Linked DNA regions of Drosophila melanogaster. The protein of the gene in region 1 interacts with the protein of each later gene in a pairwise test. Each region holds a gene or a part of one and is shown on either strand. Other genes may lie near its edges.

Region 1 (7,344 bases):
GTGCTTCCAAGAATACACTAAAATTAACCCCAAAGATAAGTTTCGTATGGAAATAGCGGTTGGGTGTTAAACTTGGCTACAATTGGAAAGGTGGGGAGCTCGGCTGTGGAAGAGCATGTATTAGTGATGACACCGTTCGTGCCACTGTACCGTTCCCTATAAATTTGATAATCTATAAAAATAACAAGTAATTCCATAAATGATGCTGCTTATAATTTACTTTGTACTTTATAGAGACAGAAATAATAATGAACTACTTTTTTTTATCTATCTACTAGTAAAGTTAGTTTGGGCAATAAAGTAGGAAAGTCCATACTTTATTAAAATAAATTCAACTATAGTCATTTTGTTTCCGTTTAAATCTTTACTTAAAACTTTTATTTAAATAAGTGATTTTTTTTATGCGTTTTGCGTGTACATTTGCACAATAAGCTTTCTTAGAAGTTAATAATAATAATTGTAATAACATTACTAACAAAAATAATAATGAGATAAAATTCCATTTATAATACAATAAGAATAAAATTCATTATGTTATTGGCCCTTTGTTCAACTGTCTAGAACCATAGGATTTCTATATATGTTATATAATTATAGATATTATATTTATAGGCATGAATGTATAATGATTCATAATAATTCCAAAAAGTGTTTTAAAAACTATCAATAAACATTTCAATGACGCTTTCATTTTCACCCGCTGCATAATTATGTTGTGTGTTCGCCACCCATTTAAAATTTAATAGTACATTGAGATTTGCAATATTTTAAGTCCGGAGCTTGGGTATTCACATTAACTACCGCGTACATAGGTGTACAAATTCCACCGCTTAAATTCGCATCTGCCTTTCGTACACGTAATCATTTAATGGATTGTTTCACATGTGAGTGTAATTAAATCTACCAGTGTATAGCTTCAATTTCGTAGTAAATGTGGTCTATATTGCCTCGACGACCCAGTGTGAATAAATTTGACTAAAATCAACGAACGTTGACTTGGGAACGGATATGATATACATACGTCGATCAATCTATTTTCGTACGTTGCTACTTAACCTTTAGTTTGCTTTCAATTTAGTTACAACTACAACTTTCAACTGCTTGCATATATGCATATGTATTCTCTATAGTTTCCTTTAGCTAGCTGCGAGTGCAAGAGTGTAGGATCTGCACTTGTTATTCCTGTCTCAAAAATCTGCTAACGATCGCCAAAAGTACAAAATAAGGATATTGAATTCTATGCACAGCATCCTAATCAGAAGCTGGGTGACGGATGTGCCGCATCATATCCTCTACTCCTCATCCGAGTCGCCATCACTGGAGTAATGTGTGATTTGAGGGCGACGAATGAAAGGCGCCGTTATCACTTGTCTGAAAGAAAGTTTACAGGTTTAATTAGCATGTCTATGTCCGGAAGGAGAGCAAGTCATATTTACGCAATGCGGCGGTAGTGATTTAGCCACTCTTCCAGCATCTGGGCGACCAGCAAGGGACGCTTGCTTAGCTTTTGTTGCGCCACCAGTAGGCCTCCATCAGTTACGCACACGTCCAGCCATTGACGCATCATTGACTCCTCGTTGCCAACCTGCAGGCAAGGAACGGAAATGTCTAAGCTCACAATGTTCTACAGGATATTTGAATAAGCTCTCACCTCCGACTGTGTAAGGAAATGTATGGGCAAAAGTTTCAGCTCGCAGTCCATTAGCGGGAGATAGGTTACGTCCTCCACATCGTCACGCCGCCCATCGATGCGAGTGAATGGCTCCATCGGCACCAGGGCGCTGAAATGGCCACGTGTGTAGCCCAGTGCTATCGGTGACTTGGTGCAAAAGTTTTGATCCCAGAACAAAGGCAAGTAGACACCTAGAAATAAGGCAATCAAATAAATGCAATACAGCGACGTAAAAATTAATAGCTACCTTCGAAACGCGCGTATCCAATGTCCTCGCCCCGAAAACTCTTGACGTACTTCACGCCGTAAACGATAATCGGCCGACGAAGGATATGCGCCAGCGCAAAGATGTGCAGTTGCTCCAGGGACGAGCCGGGTTGGCCGGCCAATGACAGTAGTGTACTCCAGTCCTCCTCGAACTGAGAGTCCTCCAGCGTAAAGTGGAGCATCGAAGCCTGCAGCATCTCGTACTCTTTCCAGCGAGTAAAGAACCTACAATAAGAGTATCAAGACTATTAATAAGCTGACGGTTGTTAAAACAAATTCGTTTAACTTACACATGCCCGCACTGGTGCAGTGTGTCGGCGAGTGCCCGCCTAAGGATATTGTCACGATCGAAGACGCCCCAGGTGGCCTGCATGGCCGAGTCCAGCAGGCAGTCGCCAGCACTGCGGTTCCACAGTACAAACATCCGTGAGCTCAGGCGAGCAGTGATCTCCAGCGACCAATTCAAGGCCGGCGGCGGCGTCTCCAGCTGTTTCTGCGCGTCGCGGTCGAGCAGCTCATCGTAGAGCTGCTCCTGTATGGGTATCGGCAGCTCCTCAATCTCGGCGGGGAGGGCGAAGGTGGCGTGCTTTTGCACATAGTGGCAGGGTAGACCGGACTTGCGCAAGCGCAGGGTATTGGCAAAGTGGCGCCGGATATCGGCCGCCAAGTCGGGAGCCACGTAGGACGGCACACGCTTGATGCCCGGCCCCGAACCGGAGATCTGGTCCAGCAGCATCGGTAACATCTCCTCGCGATGAAAACGAATGGCCAGGTGGATCAGGGTGTGGCCCACGTCGAAGGCCGAGTTGCGGTTGAGGGCGGCAATCTCGGTGCTGGTCAACGAACGGGCTGGATTGCCACCGCAGGAGAGGTACGCCTCCACAGCGCTGTAGTTGTTCTCCACGACGCCCAGGCACGCATTCAGCCACTGCCAGTCCACCTGTCGTCGGATTTGACGCTGGCGGCGCTCCTGACGCTCTTGCAGCGTATCACAGTTGTTGATGGTTTCCGAAGAACCTGGAAAGTGAATATCAATTAGTCATACCCAGAGAAATCACATTAAAAACTCTTACCCAGTTGGTAAATGTGCTTCTTATTGAACGAGTTATTGACGCTGACGGTATCCACGTTTGGCTGCTGCAGTTGTTGCTGATTCTCCTCCTGACTGTTTAGGCTGGATGAGGCGTGCAAGTCGTTCTGCGACCCACTAATCTCCCGCTCCCTCGTCTTGCCGCACATGGAGCACTTGATGCTCCTCGGCCAGTTTTCGTAAGTGCAAGACTAAGGAAAATTCTAACTTTAAGTACATCTGAGCGAATTGGTTGGGATATGAAAACCTACGTTACACGCCCATTTGGAGACATAGCACTGCTTCTGCTGCTGCGGCGGGACGGCGGCGGAGGATGAGGATTCCCGCTGTTGCTGCGGCTGCAGCTGGAGCTGCATCTGCTGCTGTAGGACAGGCTGCCGGTGCTGGGACTGCGACTGGTTGTGAGACGCATTGGCGAGATTGTTCAGATGGGTCGCATCGTCTATGCCACGACTAAGGCTCAAACGATGGGAGGCCGTGGCGCCGATGAGCTGAACCGGCTTATTGGCCAGGTTCTCCTCCGAGCCGCTGATGCGAAGGGCTTGCAGCGCCTCTCCTGCACGATCCCCGTCCGCCTCGTTATCCATGTCCTTTTTGCCACGCTCTATCGCCTCGCCACCGCGCTTCGTGCAGCACTGAACGCAGCGCAGGCTCCGCGGCCAATTGAGATAGGTGCACACCTTGCAGGGCCACTTTTCGCTGTCCGCCACGTTGCTCTGCCGTGCCTGGCTCTGCGGCTGGAGCGAGTAGCACGTGGACGAAGGTGTGGGCGACATTACGGCTACTTCGACGGCAGCCGCCTCCTCCGCAACGGTGCAGCTCTCCTGGGCTGGACTCAGACTGCAAGAATTAGCAAGTATTAATTAGCAGAAGATTAGGTATAGATCGTCAGAGTTGTCATACCGGAAGATGTCCTCGTTGAGCAGCGGCTTGGACGCCTGGCACATGGTGCATTTCAGCGAGGATGGGTAGTTCTCGTAGGTGCAAGTTTCACATTTCCATTTCTGCGCATCGTCTTTGGTATCGCACATTGTTTATGCGCGGAGCCGGCCAATGCAGTTGATCTGCCAAGGAGAAAGGGATCATACGTTGAATATTTGATATGGGATACACGAGTGTCACCAAGTAAGGGGATCCCATAAAATATGCTTTTACTAGTCAAATCCACCTGGCTGCCTTTTTTACTTCAAAATAGTTTAATTTCTGAACAATTGTAAGCTTAGACAATCATTTTAGTCGAAGTTGGTTGAAGATACGAAGAGTTTGATCAATAATGTATAGCTATGTTGACTTTTGTCGGAAGTTAATGAGATGTTGCATTCAAAAGAAAAAGATTATCTAAAAACTAATATTGGATTTATAAGTACGCAGGGAAATCTACAATTTGGAGGACATTTCAATTTACCTTGACTTATTTTGCAAAGTATAAAGACTATATGCATGACTCGTTTTGGGGGACAACTATCTACCAATGAATGTATCTACTAAGCTACTATTCTTTGGATAAGCGAACCGAAAGGGTATCCCTAAAGTCGGTGAGCGGCGAATCCACCACTTCCGACTCGTTAATAAGGTCAAACAACGGTTAGCGAGGCAGAAGCAGTGTCCTTGACCCTGAGACATAATTCGCAGATACATCCACAGATATGTACATCTGCCTTGGCTCCATTTCCATTTCCCCCACTGGCGTCACAGTCAGCCTTCGGGTTCTCGTTGCCTGGGATTGGATTGGAATGAATTGGATAGGGTCTGGTTTTGGTAGTAGTGGTGGTATAGGTGGTAGTGGTTCAACTGCTGGGTCGGTTGCATTTATTTGTTGCCATTATAATTCGCCTATGTATGTATGGCATGTGTCGCGTGCGATGTACGTACGTATGTATGTACGCTGGTATGCCAGTTTTCGCGCTAGTTTCTTATTGGGATTCGCCCCGTGCCATCCCAACCATCCCACAACCGCCTCCACCCCCCTTCCCACATCGACGTCTTTACACAGTACCTGGCGCAGAAAATCGCAAGGCCTTTTGCAGCAGTCCCAGAAAACGCGAATGCGACTGCGACCACGACAGCGATTGGATTCGATTCGAATCGAGTCGATTTAAATATATAACACAATCACAATAGGGACCGCGAGTATAGCATTAGTATTATAGTAGCTATAAGGTGTAGTTGCTATAGTCGCCGTCGGCCACCCGCGCCCGCAGCAGCGACACTATGTCGACGTCGATCCAATATTGCCAGTAATGAGCGCTGGCAGCAGGCAGGAAAATCACAATTACAAAACAAAGACGATGAGAAAACTTTCACTCGATTTTCAGTTTGGGGGGTTTTCTTTCTTGCTTTCCTTCTCAATTTTCAGCTGTACTTGCTTGGGGCGCGTGAAACGAAACTGCCCGCACACATTCACGGCGACGAACACACGCACGGTGGATCGTAGTGCAAGGAATTTGGAATTTGGATTATTTGGAAACAGCTAATTATTTATTTTTTACATTATTGCGAGGCCAATCATCTGGTTCTCTGTCCGCCTATCGACAACTATCGGTGCTCCGTCCCTGGCGCTCAGTGTTGAAAAGTGTCTCGGTTAGCTGGTTAGTCAAGCTTCACACCTACTGGTGTTCAGTGGTTTTCATGGCAAGTCTTAGAGATCGGGGGATGGTCATACTAGTAAATAAAATGGCGGGAGCTGTACATGAATTTCATTTGGTAAACAAATTATATTCTTAAAATGGTAAGAACACGGCCGGTGCCGTGTGTTCCGTCGCCAGATGTGAACACCGCAACGAGACGCAATCCCGGGCGTCCCAAGAAACAGTCCATCGGAGCTGACTTAAGCACAACGATAAGCAAACCCGGGCGTCCCAAGAAGCTGTCCATCGGAGCTGATTTGACCACAATACGTAAACCCGGGCGTCCCAAGAAACTCGGAGCTGATTTGACCACGATAATACGAAAACCCGGGCGTCCCACGAAACTATCAAACAAACAATCTTTGACAGCCCTAAACGAGCCAGAGTGTCGCATAAGAAAATGCGTGGTAAAAATAAGGCGCATTAAGGTAAAAAACGGTGTCGTATCCGAAATTTCTCGAAATGATGCGCCTGATGTGGATGCCAGCACTTTTGAGCCGGCTCGCAACTCGACGATGTACATTCCTTCGAAGGTACAGAAATCAACGCAACCCCAAAATATCAAGGAAAATGTGGCAGGTAAGAGGCTCTCACCAGGCGGATGATGGACTTTTCTTGATAAGCACAACTACTTGCAGGTCCCGAAACATCGCCATGTCAGCAACGCATAAGGAGTAAAAGCCCTAGTGGACCGGCAGCTGAGATTTCGCCCAAAAAACCACCTCGTTTCTTCCACAGAGATCAGCCTTTAACCAGGACACGATCATCGGTGACCCGCAACGTTTTCGATTTTCTGTCGCAGTCGCAGATCGAAGATGACAGTGACAGGGAGGATCCGGCGGCAGACATAATTCAGCGTTTGGTTAAGGATGGAAAGGCCTGCGTAATGGTGCGGTCAAGAAAAATCGGCAAACCGAGAGCCAAAAGAACAGCAAAGAAGGTCCGACCTGTGGGTAATCGAAGAAAGGTTTCGACAAAAGACAATGAGCCTGAGCCAGTCAAGGTCGTTCCCAAGTCCATAGAACCGCGCCTTCAAAAGCCATCACGCTCCTTATCGACCATTTTCGAGCCCGAGGAAGATTATAGCAACGATTCGGAGCACGGATACGTGCAGCCCATCGAAGTGCCCGTCCAGGTACATGTGGAGCCGAGCACTTCTAAGCAAGCGCACGAAGGAGCCTACAGTAATTTGGCCCGATCCGTAATGCTTAACCAGACCCAGGCGCAAAATCCACTGCCATCTACAGACAGACGTCGAGAACTTATCAACATGGCGCGACAATTGGTTAGCACGCCGCTGAATCGCAGAGCTCCTCCGGTGACAGATGTTAGTGCCACCACCACTGCATTGTCGCCTATTGCCCACCAGTCTCCAAATGCAGTTAGGACCGCGGGAGGCAAATCCCCCTGGCGCGTTTCCGACGATTCACCATTGCCCAATACTTTCATGTTTGGTTTCAACAACTCCCAGATGCCATCGTACTCCAGTGATCATGTGCAACGTCGGCATGTCTATGTGCCAGATTCGCCGGTAGAGCATGCTGAGAACATCCCTCACGAGGAATCCATTTGTCCGCCTTTGCACGAGCAAAATCATGACTCAAATGCGAACGACTCGAATGAGGAGAACCGTCCCCCTCCCACAATTAGCAAATCGATGTCGATCAATGACCAGGAAAGCGAAGAGA
Region 2 (3,832 bases), on another chromosome or scaffold:
TGTGGCAGTGTGACAAGTTGAAAGTTTGGGGGTATTAATTAACGTAAGCTTAGCCACTCTAATCCACTTGGTGATTAAAGTAAAAGGTTAATGGGCCTTAAGTGTGGGAAAGTTGAAAGGGTTAATTAGCTCTCGAATTTTGTAGTTGGTTTTGTTCCCAGTGCTAGTCAACGTTTCAGTTTAGTGTTGGAATGTAGTGCTGGGATAAGTAAAGGTACATTCTATTACGAGTAATAGAAGTTATCTAAACTATTCCATAAATATGGGAACCCCTACTTTATCACGTCAAAAGCAGCAGTTACACGCGTCAACTTTAATTGCCATTACTAGTCGGAATTAATTACTTGACTTATAAAAAGCACGTTGCTCATTTGCTACATTTTGTCCATAACACTTACTACATCGATTGGTTTGCTGACTGTTGAAATATGTCGGTTTTTTGTAGATTCCCGAGTGGAATTTTCTTACTACAACCCCCAACTATGATTCACTGATTCGTTAATAGAATTCGTTCAACGTCAATTATATTAAATTTTACTATAATATCCCAGAACTCTGCCAGGAGCTCAGCAAGTATTCATTTTCAAATATTAACTCTGGATAAAAAGGCAATTCACAACGCTATAGTAAAATGAGCTCCATTTATGAGCTGCTGGCCCTTAAGAAGTTGCGCCAGGATTCGCCATTAGATTTGCGATGAGATCCCATGTAGGCACTGGGTCCGGCGATGGCGGGCGGCATATCCATCTGGCCGGAGTAATTGAATACGGGAGTAGAGGGACGGCTAGCGGGAGCACGGCTCTTGACGACCATTCGGAAACGGGGCGGTTCCACGGATCGACGCTCCTCCTTCCTCTTGGGCTTCTTCTCTTCCTCCTTCTTGGGCACCAGCCCTGGCATCTGAAGTGGTTGCCCGTTGTCCTGGATCGCGTCGAAGTCCTGTTGCCATAGAGCCACCTGTTTCATGGCAAACTTGTGGTACTGCTTATCGATGCCAGATGGTCGCCGCTTTGGTATCATCACTATAGTCTTGGCTTTCAGTGCATACACAGGTGGGGATATCTGATGGTAGCCGCGTCGTTGGTAATCCCTTGGATATGCAGGCGGAATGCCAACCACCTTCTTGCGCTTCAAATGTGGCTTCACCTCCTCTGTGGTCTCCGACTCCCGGGAGCATGGGCATGTGTGCCACGAATGCCAGTGCTCCGCCTCGCTCTCCTCCTGGCGCTTCCTCAACCAATCGGCAGTGGGACGATTGGAATCGTAAACCACTGTCTGGCTGTCTTGAGCTTCCTCTGAGCTCTCTGTATTGCGTCTTTGGCGCTGGTAGTCCTCCGATTCCCTTTGCATATCCTCCTCAATATACGTTTCCTTTCGCTTAACCGGACGATAGGTAATGCCGGAGGTATTAGTTTCCCTCCTAGATTCCGGACGATTTTGCCATCGACGGCGATTCTGTTCGATAATCGCCTCCTGACGCCTTTGGTGATCGGCCGGATCCTGTGAGATGGTACGCCGGCGCAATAAGTCCGGTTCTGCCTGACCTTTAGCGAAGTGACTATTGATTCTTCGTTGGGCCTGCTTGCGACGCTCTTCACGTTCCAATTCATATTTTTGTTGCTCGTGACGGATTTTGTTCTTGGCTATATAGAGGCGATCGTTGCAGTGGGACTCGTAGCCCAACTCATCCAAACGCTCGGGAAAATCGGGAGACCATTCGCTGTCACGCCAAGGAGACTCCCGGGGCACCGCGGACATCTCTTTCATCTTCTTGATGCCCTGGATTTGTGCTTGAGTCTGGTCGTCGAAGGTATATCGGTCTGCGTAGCGACGATTTTGGCTGGTAACTGCTGGTAATCGTCGCAAACTGGAAAATTGCCCCTTGGCTTTGTTACTAACAAACCGCCAAGAATGATTCAGGCTCGTTCGAGCCATTTTAAAAGTGGTATTCATCTTGCTATTGACTCGTCTTGGATTGAACTCCCTTTTCAGAACTAAAAATTTTGATGCGTGCACGAGAGGGTGTTGTCTGAAAATAAAACTCCGAACTGAATTTTTGAATTTTCAATTTTGTTAGCTACAAATTTTTAACTCCAAAAATTAAAGACCGAAATTTTGTGAACTGAACGCTTCGCAAACTGGGAATATTATGAGAACGCTGATGATTTTTTCCCAGGAAGTAAAAGGCAATGCTATCCCAGTTGAACTCAAAAAATAGAGGTGGTACTCATGACCTACTTGGCGTTTAACATTACGTTAATCCAATACTAGAAACAATCTTTGAAAATGCACAAAATATGTATTCATTAAAAGGTTTCCTGACCACATAAGCGGTTAACCTTTGAAGTAACTATCCATTAGGTTTCACACCCAAATGGGAAAGTGTGGAAAGCTTAAATATGCAGCATTTATCTTCGTTGGAGGTTGTCTGCCTTCCGCATCGCGCACTCCACTTCCATCGAATTTTGATAGCAGATTTATGATGCACTTCCGCCGCTGGCTAAACTTGACACACTGAGAAGTTTGTCTGGTTTTTTTTTTCGATTCGCTCTTCGATCGCCGGCTTTGGTTTCATAATCGCAGCGATCCAGTTGGACTAATGAACTTGAACTAACCGATGTCACGGCGCGTTTCCTTTTCTTATTTCTTTGCCACAGCTTGCCGCACCGTCTTCGAATCTCAGCAGCAAATTGGCGCCGCCGACGAATCTTGAGCCCTACACCATGGCTGTCATCACGGAACATGGCGGCACCACCTCCTCTCCCCCGGAAAACAACAATAGCATCGGAAACGGAAAACACCGGGTCAATGGCCATCAGTTGAGCACCTCGCTGACCATACCGGAGTTCTTTGCCCACAAGAACATCTTTGTCACCGGCGGCACTGGATTCCTGGGCACCGTTCTTATCGAGGCTCTGCTGGACACACATCCCGACATTGGAACCATCTACGTTTTGGTCCGGGGCAAGCGCAAGTTTGATCCGAACGAGCGGATTCGTCGCCTGCTCCAAAAGCCGGTAAGTCTGGTGGCATTTGTTTTAGATTGTTTTGACCGGTCGAAGGGGGGCGGCAACCGGCCACGCCCTCTGACACGACGCGCCGTCTGCAAGGTATATAATTAAAGCCAATTACGAGTCTCTTTATGGAGCGTTAATTTGTCAAAGTCGTAACCTGGCCGACCTCTTCCGCCGCGTTCCATGGGGCTTTCATTTTCTTTTCTTTTCATTTTTTTTTTTAACCACAAGTGTGCAATACTCTTTTGGGATTTTTGAAAATATTTAAATTGTTATTTACTATAATTACAAATTTTGAAATAACCTAATTATTATCTTATTTAATTGTTAAGCTCAAGCAATCTTTTCATAAAGCATTTTTTACAATCAAAATAAGTTTGTACAAATAATGCCTTGAAATCATATAAATTATATTTAGAGAGTGCTTAAATTTTCGGTCCAACAAAAAGTCTTTTGTTTTTTCCCCAACTTTTGTTAGGCCCTCTTCACAACTCGTTAATTTATTTTATTTTTAAACGCATTTTTAATGGCACAACAAAAAGAAGCTAACATCATATGTTGTTTGCTTTGAAAATTGCTTACTTACGAGTGTTGCCCAAAAAGGTAAAAGTACCGAAAAAAGCACTCATCGCTAACAATCATAATTTGTTGGCCATAATGTGGGCGTGTATGGTTAGCAAGCCAACCTCCGAACAGTAGTGAAATTAATTTTCAACATCCGTCTTTAGAGGAGAAAAAATAGGTCTCCAACTGGTTTAAAAATATCGAATACATATGTACAATATATAAAACTCTTATTCGCCGCTTCTGCAAGTCAT
Region 3 (7,899 bases), on another chromosome or scaffold:
TCGTTCTCCTTCTGCTTGACCCGCTGAACGAACATTTGGCGCACTTCCTCCTCCTTGGCCTGTAGGCAAGCCAGATGGTCGGATCGCTTCGACTCGAAGGTCTGTTGGAAGGAGACCGGCTGGTTGTTGCTGTCCACGTCCACAAAGCCCATTTGTTGTAGGCGCCGCTGGCGGAAGAGCTCATAGTGGCGTGTGTGAGTCTGTTCGCGCAGATCCTCCATGTTAGTGCGAATGAGCATCTCGCGCAGCTTCACAAAGTCGCAGTGCGCCTCGTTTTCTATGTGCACCGCTCCCCATGGATATTGGCGGGCACGAACCTGCTTTCCGGCCACCTTTACAAACTCCGTACTGCCAACAACGGCAAAGGGTAGATGGCCGTTCATCGCAGCATTTGTTTCGGACACGGTTTCGTCGTCCATGGGAAACTGGTATATGCTCACATTGTTCCGCCGTAGTTCGTCCATTATGCGTTCCTTAAACCCCGACAGCTCCGACTTGGAGATGGTGTCGGCCTTCGCGATCACGGGAATGATGTTCACCCTAGTGTCAAGCTGCTTCATGCACACCAAATCCATAGCTTTCAGACCATGGCCCGTGGGACAGATGAAGTACAGGCAGGCGTGAACGCGTCCATCATGAGCACTGGCCATCGCTCGCTGGATCTTGAGCTCTTCCTGCAAATACGCTTCAAACTGGCTGTCCACGTACTCCACCAAAGCCTTGTAGCTGTCCGCTTTATTAACCTGATCTCCGTATCCGATCGTGTCACAGACGGTCAGCTTCAGGCGGACGTTGCTCTCCTGCAGCTCGTATGTATTTGCCTTCAGCTTCACATTGGGCAGGTTGTGCGGGCTCGGTGTAGATCCAAAACTGGTATTGAACAGTGTGTCCATGAGAGTGGATTTCCCGAGAGCGGTCTCGCCGATGCATAGGATATTGAAGCTAAAGCCATTCTGGACGCTCTTGTTGACCAGCTGGTCCGGTAGGGTGTCGAACCCCACGTGGCCGCCGAGTTGAAGGAGCCTGGGGACTTTGGTTGCCACCTCCTGCGTCTTCTTTTCAGTCACTAAATGAACCATTTCGCCAGTGCTTTCGTTAGAATAATGTCACGACCCAGCGCAGGCGCCACTCTTTATACCCGGAATTCTCGTATGTGCAGCCTGTGTAAACCCTAGTCGTTTTTCTTAATAAGCCATTTGGATTTTCCTGCATCTGGTGGCGTACCGAGAATTAAACTGTATCTAAGAGTTTTCTACCTGTGATTCCTTTTACCTGCAGCCTTGACGATTTTAAATGCGGTGCCCGCCTCAGTTGTCTATCGAGACAGTTCTGCGCGACTATATCGATTAAAGCAGCTTCAACTAACATTTATCAATTGCAGTTAAACAACGATGGATTATTCGATCAAAATGAATTTTATTTATCAGAAAGATAGTCTTGCGACAGTACATTTTATATATGATTTCTGGACTATGACGCCACGGCTGGCTCGAATGAAGTCCCATCTGGACGTATTATATTCGATGACTTTTTCCAACATTTGTGGTCATATATCGGCAATAACACGGCAAATGTTAAGTCGGTCGCGATTTTGAACAGTAATGCCAACTTAAAGTTCTCCACCTCATAAAAAAATCCTTTACAAAACGTATATCGCGTTGTCTTAATCTCGCGTGTTTTAAAGATTTATGATCTTAAAACTTAAAAACTTTTATTGTTATATCTAAGTTCGCCGAAATATATTACAGAAATAGAAACCTATTAAAAACTACATTGAAATTATATATGATTATAACTATGTCATTATATAAAAATGAATCAAACGTTTGGCTATAAAATGGACAAATATGGCTCGATACCATGAACGGGACCATCAATGGCGATAGCAAACACGTATCGTTATCGAATACCGCAGTTAACTTTCGACGCATACAGAATTTGCAAAGCCGGAGGAAATTGAAGAATTTGTGGAATATCCGCGACTTAATAGTAAACTAGCACTTAAAAATAAACATCCAAAAAAGCCGGAAGTGGTAAGAACTCTAAAAACGATCTGAATTGCTCTGATTTTAGAATTTTTCCGCCTAACGCGATTTTCTTTGTTTGCGGGGCGCCGCCATTTTCTTTTTACCTGACCGCCGCTTGTCTTCTTGCATTTCGCCCGTACTTTCACAAAGCAAATCTCGAATTCTTCGCAGAATCCCCGGAACTAAATTGCCAGAAAGTTCTCAGGCAGCACACACCGAGTTAAAGCGCCCCGGAATAGCCGCCCATGAGTAGTCATCGAGACGGAGCCGGAGCCGATCGTATCACAATCAAAATTCACAACATGAAGCGTAGCGCCTCGCGCTCCCCGGGCCCGGCCTCCAGGAGCAGTTTGTCGCGCAACTCGCGAAGCATGGGTCGTGGGTACGACAACGGCAGCGGCGTGCCTGGCGATTCGCCGGAGCGCCTGTCGCCGGAGCGCATGCGACGTCGATTGGACCGCTCGCCGAGTCGTTATGGCTCCCCGCACCGGGAGCCCTACATGCGTGGTCCACCGCCTGCAGAGCGACCAGCTGGCTACAAGGTACTTTGCGTCAGTGCCCTGCCGCCAAAGGCTCCGGACGATTTTATCGAGGAGACACTGTACCGCGAGTACAAGAAGTTTGGCGATTTTAGCGTGCGACTGGCGCACGACTTGGATGAACGGGTTGCTTACGTTTGCTTCCGAACGCCTGAAGATGCACGCGAGGCGAAGCACCATAAGCCGCGCCTGATCATCTACGACAAGATGGCCATTGTGGAGCCGGTGTACAAGTCCACAACCAGACCGGAATATAGGTGGGATTTATTTTTGTATTTATTTTGTTAGCCTTGGCTAATCTAAGATGCTTTGCAGACCACGCGGTCACTCAATGTCCCCACCGGACTATGAACGTTACCACTACTCGAGGTCCCCTATGGGACAAGGCGTTCCTTTGGATCACCGTCGACCTCCGATTGATCCCTACGATCGGTACGGTCCTCCCCATATGCATCCGCACGCAGTCCATCCACGTGATTACCGCCCATTGCATCATGACTATCCTCATCCGCCACGCGGACCACCTTTGCATCGCGGCGGCCATCCGCATCACCTCCATGGCCATGCGCCGCCCCATCAGTATGCTCCAATGAGGCCATTGGCACCACGCCCACACGCTCCCTATGAAAAGCCTGAGAGCAAGAAGGACAAGTTCCCCAATTACTTGCACCATGTGCAGCCCGAGGATGATCCTCTTTCTACGCGCACACTGTTTGCAGGAAATCTGGAGGTTACCATCGCCGACGACGAACTGCGTCGCATCTTTGGCAAATACGGAGTGGTAGATGACATCGACATCAAGCGACCGCCGCCGGGTACGGGGAACGCGTTCGCGTTTGTACGTTACCAAAACCTGGATATGGCTCACCGAGCGAAGATCGAATTGTCTGGACAGTACATTGGCAAGTTTCAGTGCAAGATCGGATACGGGAAAGTGACTCCGGCAACTCGTATGTGGATCGGAGGCTTAGGTGCCTGGACTTCTGTCACTCAGCTGGAGCGAGAGTTTGATCGCTTCGGTGCGATCAAGAAGATTGAATACCAGAAGGGCGAGCCGTACGCTTATATTCAGTACGAGACAGTGGAGGCAGCCACGGCGGCGGTAAAGGAGATGCGAGGATTCCCATTGGGTGGACCGGAGCGTCGACTCCGCACGGACTTTGCCGAGTTGCCCGGCGCCACACCGGCAGCGCCTTTCAAGAGCTCAAAGCCGCCATATGATGAAAGTGCGTTGGAGTACAGACGTCCGGAATACGATCCGTATTACGAAGAGTCCGCCGCCTACGCTCCGCGCGGTGGCTATTCTCCGTATCCACCTAGGGGTGGCTACCGTGGACGTGGGGGATATCGCGGAAGAGGAAGAGGCATGTACCATTATCACAACGACGTGCATAGGCCGCCGCATCCTGGCTCCTTAGCAGGTTCCTCTTCTTCAGTTCCCCCTCCCGGCGGAGTGGAGGATGAGTGGCGACGCCCGCCAGGAGAATCGTACGACAGAGGAGCCCGCTCCAGCTCTCGGGAACCTGGTGTAGAACGCTCTCGTTCTAGATCCCCATTGAAGCGGGCTCGCTCTCCCGGATCTGATTCTGACACCTCGACTCGTCGGAACGACGCCCTTGCATCAGCCAGTACGGTTCCAGATGTGGCGCGCAAGTGCAGCACAGTGTGGACCGGAGCGCTAATCCTCAAGAGCTCACTGTTCCCAGCCAAGTTTCATTTGACGGACGGAGATACGGATATTGTGGAGTCGCTGATGCGCGATGAGGAGGGCAAGCACAACCTACGTATCACCCAGCGACTGCGTCTGGATCCGCCCAAGCTGGACGACGTGCAAAAACGTATTGCATCCTCATCGTCGCACGCCATTTTCATGGGTCTGGCAGGGTCCACAAACGACACCAATTGCGACGATGCCAGCGTGCAGACGCGACCACTAAGAAACTTGGTTTCCTATCTTAAGCAGAAGGAGGCGGCTGGCGTGATCTCGCTGCTTAACAAGGAGACGGAGGCAACTGGGGTGCTGTACGCCTTCCCCCCCTGCGACTTTTCCACAGAGCTGCTAAAGCGCACTTGTCACAGTCTGACGGAGGAGGGCCTGAAGGAGGATCACCTGGTGATTGTGGTGGTGCGCGGCGGAACGGCCTGAGCTGGAGCGGCTGGCGACGGTGGGGATGGGAGGACAAACTGTAGGTAATAACTAGCCACAGTGCTCAAGGAAAATCTCCGCCACATCTAATTATAGCATAGCAGCCGTAGTCGTATCTTAGCTCGTCCTCTCCCAAGTGGAGGACACCCGGGGGCCACATACATGCAAGGGACGTGTATGCGGCTCCTCCAAGCACCGCACACACGCACATACACACACATGATGCACACATACAGAGACAGAAGCAGAACCGAGGAGACTTCACCCACACCTCATGACCCAAAAACCCCGCATTAATTAACCATTAATTAACCTTCTTTTGCAGACAGGATCTCTCTTTTGGTTTTAGTTCAAGTTCTCGATGTGTTAGTGACAGTGAAGTTTATACATCCTTTTCATTATTGTGCTAAAAAGTTTGAAAAATCGTTCATGATTGTATCTAAAGCTACCCATACAAATTATCCAATTTTATTATGTTAAAGTGTACAACAGTATGAAAACAACACGAGTAAAAACAAAAATCAAATATTTTCCATAAAAAAAACTCCATTCGAGTGTCCGCATATGATCAACAACTAGTGCGAAATAATGTCGATGAAAAGTTTTTGTGTTCCTTAAAATTGATTTTCCATTTTGATTTGTGTTACGCTGATGATTTTGCCTTTGCCCTTTCGTTTGTGTTCGATGGCGAGAAGGCAGTGCGACCAAAAGTGCGCCCAGTAGTGGTCTGATTGTCCAGTTGGGTCCAAAATAAGATTGCAAAGTGGCTCCAGAAGTTGTTTGCAGTGCAATTTCCCAATCAGTGCGAAGTGCTTAACTCCAGCTGAGTTTCAGTTCCCCTCGATCTCCAAGAGGTTCTTTGGTGTTTCTGGCCGCTGGGTGCGTGAAAGTGGCTGGCGATTCCATATCGTGTTCCGATCCCCGATCAATATCCGTCTTCCATCCGAAGAGAGAACGTCGTGTAGCATTTGCTCCAAAATGTCTATGCTGTTTGATTTGGTTTGGCAATTGTTACATTGGTTTTCTTGTGGCTGCGCTCAACAGAAGAATAAGAATAAGAATAGTGTTTTGTTTATAATTTATGCAAGCGTTCATGCTACATTTGTTTCAGTGAGTTCAAGTGTCATTCCACGGACCGAGATCAGTTTATACACAATGATAATCCAATCCGAGCAGTTCACCCAGTGCATGTGCTGTGTATGCGTGTGTTCGCAAATCTATTATTTATATATATATATATATATCAATCGTAATATGTACACTCAAAGGTAGTAATAACGATCAAACGCAGTTGTCTTGCATCATTAGACGGATGTTCGAAAGTAATTTATGCTTCAACAAAATATTATATCAAACTATTGTACTGATATCCAAATAAACGACAACTATCGCATCCTACGTGTTAAAAATGTGAGTTGTGAGTTACAGTGCAAGCAAGTGTTTAAGAAAGTGAACCATCTGCTGACCAAAGAAGGTAACGAAATTAAGCACCATTGCTAGCATCAACATCAATTTTATTACCAAGTGGAACGCGCCAGGGCCCTGGAATCGCGTTCTTAATCGTAGTACAGGTAAAAGGTGGTGCAGACTGCAAAGTACGAGGGTCTCTCCACGCTGTAGGTCACAAATCCGTCTTTTTCAGCATCCCACAGGAAGTTGACCATGGAGTAGAGGCCCTGCATCAGGAACTCGCCCACAGTGACCAGCACTATGTAGCGATATCTGGGGCGAAACGGTGGTTAGTTAGACAAAAACTGACCGCCGAACCAAAGTCACCTGTCGTAGTTGTCGAGTTTGATGCGGTTCTTGATTTCCTCGCTCACTTGCGCGGCCATGTGGAGGGAATGCTTGGGATGGAACATGTACTCATCGTTGTAGTGTCGGTTCATCACCGCCTTTATGATGTTCTCCACGCGTTCCTTGTTGAGCGGATTCTTGGACTCCAGGCGGTAGGTGGGCATGAACCGCATGGTGGGCTAGGCATTAAGCAGATCTCAGGGTATAAACACAGCTAGCTGGGCATTTAACGGACTTACCTTGGCTGCCGGAGCACCCATCGGCAAGGAAACGCCCATATGGGACTTGGTCAGCGATCCGCGCTGGCTGCTTGCCGGCCTCTGCATGTCGATGAAATGGGAAACCGAATATGCATGTTAGTTAGGCCACAGCTAGAAGCACAGAGATACCCAAACCCCCAATAGAATCCCCACAAGAAATGGCGTGACTTCGTCAAATTTTAGACGAACCGTATGGTTCCCGTGTTCACATCCCGTTACAAGCATCAATTCATTAAAAAGACATCAATACCCCATTGTAACCATAATGGCAAAATCAATCGTATACCTTCTCACGCTCCTGGCCCAGATAAAGATTCACCAGCCCCGACCAGTTCTTCGCTGCAGCGGCTGCCATTCCTTGCGAATTAATAGAATCGAGTCGGCTCGAGTGCGTAGAGGTTAGCCATAAAACCACAAATGATTATGCCATTAAGTCATTCCCTGCCAGATTACCTGACGGCCTGTCGCCGTGGCAATTCGTGGCGTTTGGCTTTGTTGAATCAATAAAACCAGCCAAATTATGCGCCACTTGTCAGCCCAACTTACCGGCTTAGTGCCCTCGGCCGACTTTTCTTTCTTCTCCTTTTTGCCCTTGCCAGTTTCCGCCTCCTTGGCGGCGGTCTCTGGCACGACATCCTTGCTGCGCCGCTCTTCCGGTGAGTCGCCCATGATCACAATGTTTAACTTGAAATGCTTTTTAGAACTGAACTGGAGCAGAAATATACTAGCCAAGAAGACGAAAGAAAACGACAGCCTGCTAAGATTGTTAAGAAATTGAAAGATCAGCTTACAACAACAATTAGTTTACACTTTATTTGGTTTGCTATATGTGTGGGAATATGCTTCACATTTCGGGTCGGTCTTGCGTTTAAAGTATACATATGAAACATATACACACAGTCAGTAGACAATAATACACATCCATGTTACGATATTTACGTTATTACTGGGTGGTGGTGCTCTTGTGGCCACAAAACATCAATTACATCTATATACACATATTTAAATATAAATATACTCGATACGCTCGGATTCGGTTAAATACACACCTAATAAATTATCTATAAAAAGTAAAACAATAACAGTGCGAATTCTTGGCCACATTTCCTTGTCTTTGTCCTGTTGCTTCC
Region 4 (3,327 bases), on another chromosome or scaffold:
GTAGATATTGGTGTCCAGCAGAGTCTCCTTCAGCGAGTCCTGATCCTCGTCACTCTCCTCCGGCTGGCTGGCGGCCATCAGCTCACCGAGCATATTGCCAGCCCACTTGTTCTTCATCTGTTTGGCGGCATACAGCTGCCACTTGAACATGCCCAGCGGCTGGAAAGTGAGGTGCAGCTCCAGTTCGGGAGTGGTCTCATTAATGGGTTGATACTCCCGCTGAAGATTCCAGTAGTCGTTGACGAACAGGATGGGCAGATAGGTCTTACCGCCGTCTACGAACTTTACGTAGTCATCCAGTGGCGGCGGCACAGATCCCTCGGCCCAGTTAGTTTGGTCCACTACGAGATTGACCGTGAGATTAGGATGCCAGTGAGACACGATGGTATCCTTGAGATTCGCATGCTTGAGCTCGTGCTCCAACTTCTCCTTCTCGCTGGCCAGCAAGTTGTAGTTGCGGTTCACACGCAACTTCTTGAACTTGTTCAGCTGATGTTGCTGGTGGCCCATTTTGGTGGCGTAATTCGGGGCTTTGGGATCGGGACTCATGCCGGTACGCGTGACAAAGGCATGTAGGTACACACTGCCATTGTTCATCAGATGCTGGCTGGTCTTAAGCTTCAAACTGTGCGTGTAAATGCCATCTCCGTTGACGCCCGACGTCCAATCGCCATAGGTGAGGTCCTTCTGTAGCCAGAGGAGATTCGCCTTTTGCTGGAAGTTAACCACATCGGGATTCTCCGACAACCACACGTGCAGGTCAAAGTCCGTGCCGTTCTCGAAGTAATTCCAGGCCGTGATCTTGGGACCCGCATTAGCGACACTTTTGCCTTGACTGGCGGCATCGGGCGCAGGTCGTCGGAAAAAGGAGCTCACAAAGTAGATGATCAGGGCACGCAGGATGAGGGACTTGGTCATCGCAAAGAAGGACTCCATGCGGGTGGGCTGATTCGGCGGGGGTTGTTGTTGCTCATTCTGGCCTTCATTTTGGGCCAGCTCAGCGTTACCATTGCCCGCAATCACCTAGAAAAAACGATGAGAACCAGGTCGCTATTGTCAGGTGATTGGGGTTGAGAAAGGTTTAAGTTTCTCAGATACTTACCGCACCCTCTGCTGCGGGCTGATCTTCGCCTGCTTTCGACATGCTCTGTTCTCAAGGGTTTTCCACGCTTTTCCCTTAGTTTCCCGTTTTCCGCACAACTTGTGCTACTGTCATCGATAGGTAAGTGTTGAGGACCTATCGAGCCATTAGAACTTCGATATCGAAAGGGGTATTTTTCAGAATCTATCGATTTGACGCAGAATGGAAAAGCACGGTGTTCTCACTATAAAGACATACTTTTTTCACTAAGTCAAATACAAATTTATTTATTATATGTGACATATTTAGCAATACACATTTTTAGAATATCGTTGGCTTAAATGTATATCCCTTACTTACTTATACTTACTTACTTACTTATACTTATACAACCTAGTATTCAATTATTGTTCTTAGTAAAATGGACAGCAACTTGAATATTTTTGTATAAATTCAAAAGGTTTAATATCTGAAAAAATATTTCATAAATTCATTAAAAATATAATTTAAATCGATTAGGCGGTTTTTCAATAAAAAAAAATATGCGTAATATGTAATATTTGAACCTTATCTAAAATATAATTCTATATACAAGTTTTGATTTCAATTTATTTGTATACAATGCAAATAGCATTTTCATGCCATAATAATATAATTTTGAATTAGCTTAGCTATCAGTGAGGTAGCGTTGGGCTATAAAAAAACACGAAAAACTATATGTTGATATTGTAAAGTTGGTCTCGGTTCAAATGGTAAAGATATTTTGCATTAATTAATTTGAGTGTCTGAATATTTTTTACAGTTCCATTTAGAATGTTTTGGTATTTAAAAAATAGTATTTTGGTATATTTGCAGTGCTCGGCGGCGGCCACACTCTCTTTTCCCTTTTTCTTTTGAATAGCATTTGGTTGCACGTTTCCTCTGGTGAGTTTCCATTAAATATATTAAAAATAAACGAAAAATCGCAATAACGTGGCAGAATGTAAACATATTGTTGTTTAGTGACGTATTTGTGATATGAAAAAGATGGACACTGGTGCTTGTCGACCGGTGGAGCTGTTTCTGTCGAACGAAACATGCCAGCAAGTCGGACCTAACCTCCAATCTTTGCCCGCTCTTTGGGACGCACAAGTTCGCTAAGAAATCGTACGATTTGGTACTGATTTATGTTTTATATTGCTTTCAGTGACGCCGCCATTATGCAGATCTTCGTGAAAACCCTCACCGGCAAGACCATCACCTTGGAGGTGGAGCCTTCTGACACCATCGAGAATGTCAAGGCTAAGATCCAGGATAAGGAGGGCATTCCCCCAGATCAGCAGCGTCTGATCTTCGCCGGCAAGCAGCTGGAGGATGGCCGCACTCTGTCCGACTACAACATTCAGAAGGAGTCCACCCTGCACTTGGTGCTCCGCCTGCGTGGTGGTATCATTGAGCCCTCGCTCAGGATTCTGGCCCAGAAGTACAACTGCGACAAGATGATCTGCCGCAAGTGCTACGCCCGTCTGCATCCTCGTGCCACCAACTGCCGCAAGAAGAAGTGCGGACACACCAACAACCTGCGCCCCAAGAAGAAGTTGAAGTAGACTATGATCATCCGTCGACGGTCCAGGCTGGTCTTTCTATCGACAAAACCATGGTTAACCATCTAAGTAAATATATGTACATTTTGTGAAACCACATCTAATCGAAATGTATTGCATTTGCTGCCAAGGCACAGCCTATTTACACCGTGTATGTTTCTGTTTTCCTGTCATCTGTTTTCGTTTGTGGTCTCCGAAGAACGAGTTTCTGCGGTTTTAGGAAGCTCTTATACTGCAATTAGTTGGCCTCTCCGAGATCTCAGTTAGTTTTTCTGCTCTGTTTCTGGTTCTGTCTCGCCACCAGGAAGCGGGCGACAGCAGCAGGTAATTGATATTCCATCTGCCAGCGATACCAGACCCTTGCGGTCTACTCTTCTGCCCAAGGGAAACAAGGGGACTGGCTGGCTAGTACGCCGCGGATGGTCGAGCAGACCTACTTGGCCAAGCTAAGCCAAGTCCACTTCGAGTACAGTTAATTGGTTTCATTGACCGCCGACTAAGGCGCGCAACGGCTTCCGTGGCCAACTGGTAAACTGGTTGTTGGCGCTCTAATCCATGCTAGCACTTGGTCGTTGGCCCCGCGGAGGCTCTTATTATGAATATCTTAATAACCCAAGAACTGGCTGGTGACGACCCAAAGGGCCTGCCTGATAGGCAGGACAT

The links.
Region 2: the proteins of trbd (region 1) and CG5089 interact in a two-hybrid assay, tested with the Drosophila melanogaster proteins (one large-scale study listed by BioGRID).
Region 3: the proteins of trbd (region 1) and nito interact in a two-hybrid assay, tested with the Drosophila melanogaster proteins (one large-scale study listed by BioGRID).
Region 4: the proteins of trbd (region 1) and RpL40 interact in a two-hybrid assay, tested with the Drosophila melanogaster proteins (one large-scale study listed by BioGRID).

What each region holds. Positions count from the first base shown.
Region 1 is NT_033777.3:9,705,456-9,712,799, forward strand, and holds trbd (trabid), read right to left. Parts: upstream 5,583-7,344; 5' UTR 5,026-5,582; intron 4,094-5,025; 5' UTR 4,061-4,093; coding exon 3,933-4,060; intron 3,870-3,932; coding exon 3,281-3,869; intron 3,221-3,280; coding exon 3,013-3,220; intron 2,957-3,012; coding exon 2,230-2,956; intron 2,165-2,229; coding exon 1,920-2,164; intron 1,864-1,919; coding exon 1,652-1,863; intron 1,586-1,651; coding exon 1,437-1,585; intron 1,372-1,436; coding exon 1,293-1,371; 3' UTR 541-1,292; downstream 1-540. Other genes in the region: dmt (dalmatian), read left to right, coding at 5,755-6,235, 6,295-7,344. UniProt on the Drosophila melanogaster protein: Positive regulator of the Wnt signaling pathway. Specifically cleaves 'Lys-63'-linked ubiquitin chains. May act by deubiquitinating APC protein, a negative regulator of Wnt-mediated transcription.
Region 2 is NT_033778.4:16,597,089-16,600,920, reverse strand, and holds CG5089 (uncharacterized protein), read right to left. Parts: upstream 2,174-3,832; 5' UTR 1,954-2,173; coding exon 643-1,953; 3' UTR 510-642; downstream 1-509. Other genes in the region: CG8303 (uncharacterized protein), read left to right, coding at 2,724-3,017.
Region 3 is NT_033778.4:7,960,571-7,968,469, forward strand, and holds the start of nito (spenito), read left to right. Parts: upstream 1-1,892; 5' UTR 1,893-2,033; intron 2,034-2,198; 5' UTR 2,199-2,272; coding exon 2,273-2,823; intron 2,824-2,881; coding exon 2,882-4,712; 3' UTR 4,713-4,756; exon of another isoform or gene 4,757-6,170; intron 6,171-6,207; exon of another isoform or gene 6,208-6,268; coding exon of another isoform or gene 6,269-6,434; intron 6,435-6,488; coding exon of another isoform or gene 6,489-6,688; intron 6,689-6,748; coding exon of another isoform or gene 6,749-6,829; intron 6,830-7,055; coding exon of another isoform or gene 7,056-7,124; exon of another isoform or gene 7,125-7,147; intron 7,148-7,315; coding exon of another isoform or gene 7,316-7,438; exon of another isoform or gene 7,439-7,454; intron 7,455-7,558; exon of another isoform or gene 7,559-7,899. Other genes in the region: Septin5 (septin 5), read right to left, coding at 1-1,079; CG14763 (uncharacterized protein), read right to left, coding at 6,269-6,434, 6,489-6,688, 6,749-6,829, 7,316-7,438. UniProt on the Drosophila melanogaster protein: RNA-binding protein that acts as an associated component of the WMM complex, a complex that mediates N6-methyladenosine (m6A) methylation of mRNAs. M6a modification plays a role in the efficiency of mRNA splicing and is required for sex determination.
Region 4 is NT_033779.5:4,225,745-4,229,071, forward strand, and holds RpL40 (ribosomal protein L40), read left to right. Parts: upstream 1-1,954; 5' UTR 1,955-2,063; intron 2,064-2,267; 5' UTR 2,268-2,280; coding exon 2,281-2,667; 3' UTR 2,668-2,817; downstream 2,818-3,327. Other genes in the region: CG3702 (uncharacterized protein), read right to left, coding at 1-1,023, 1,103-1,144.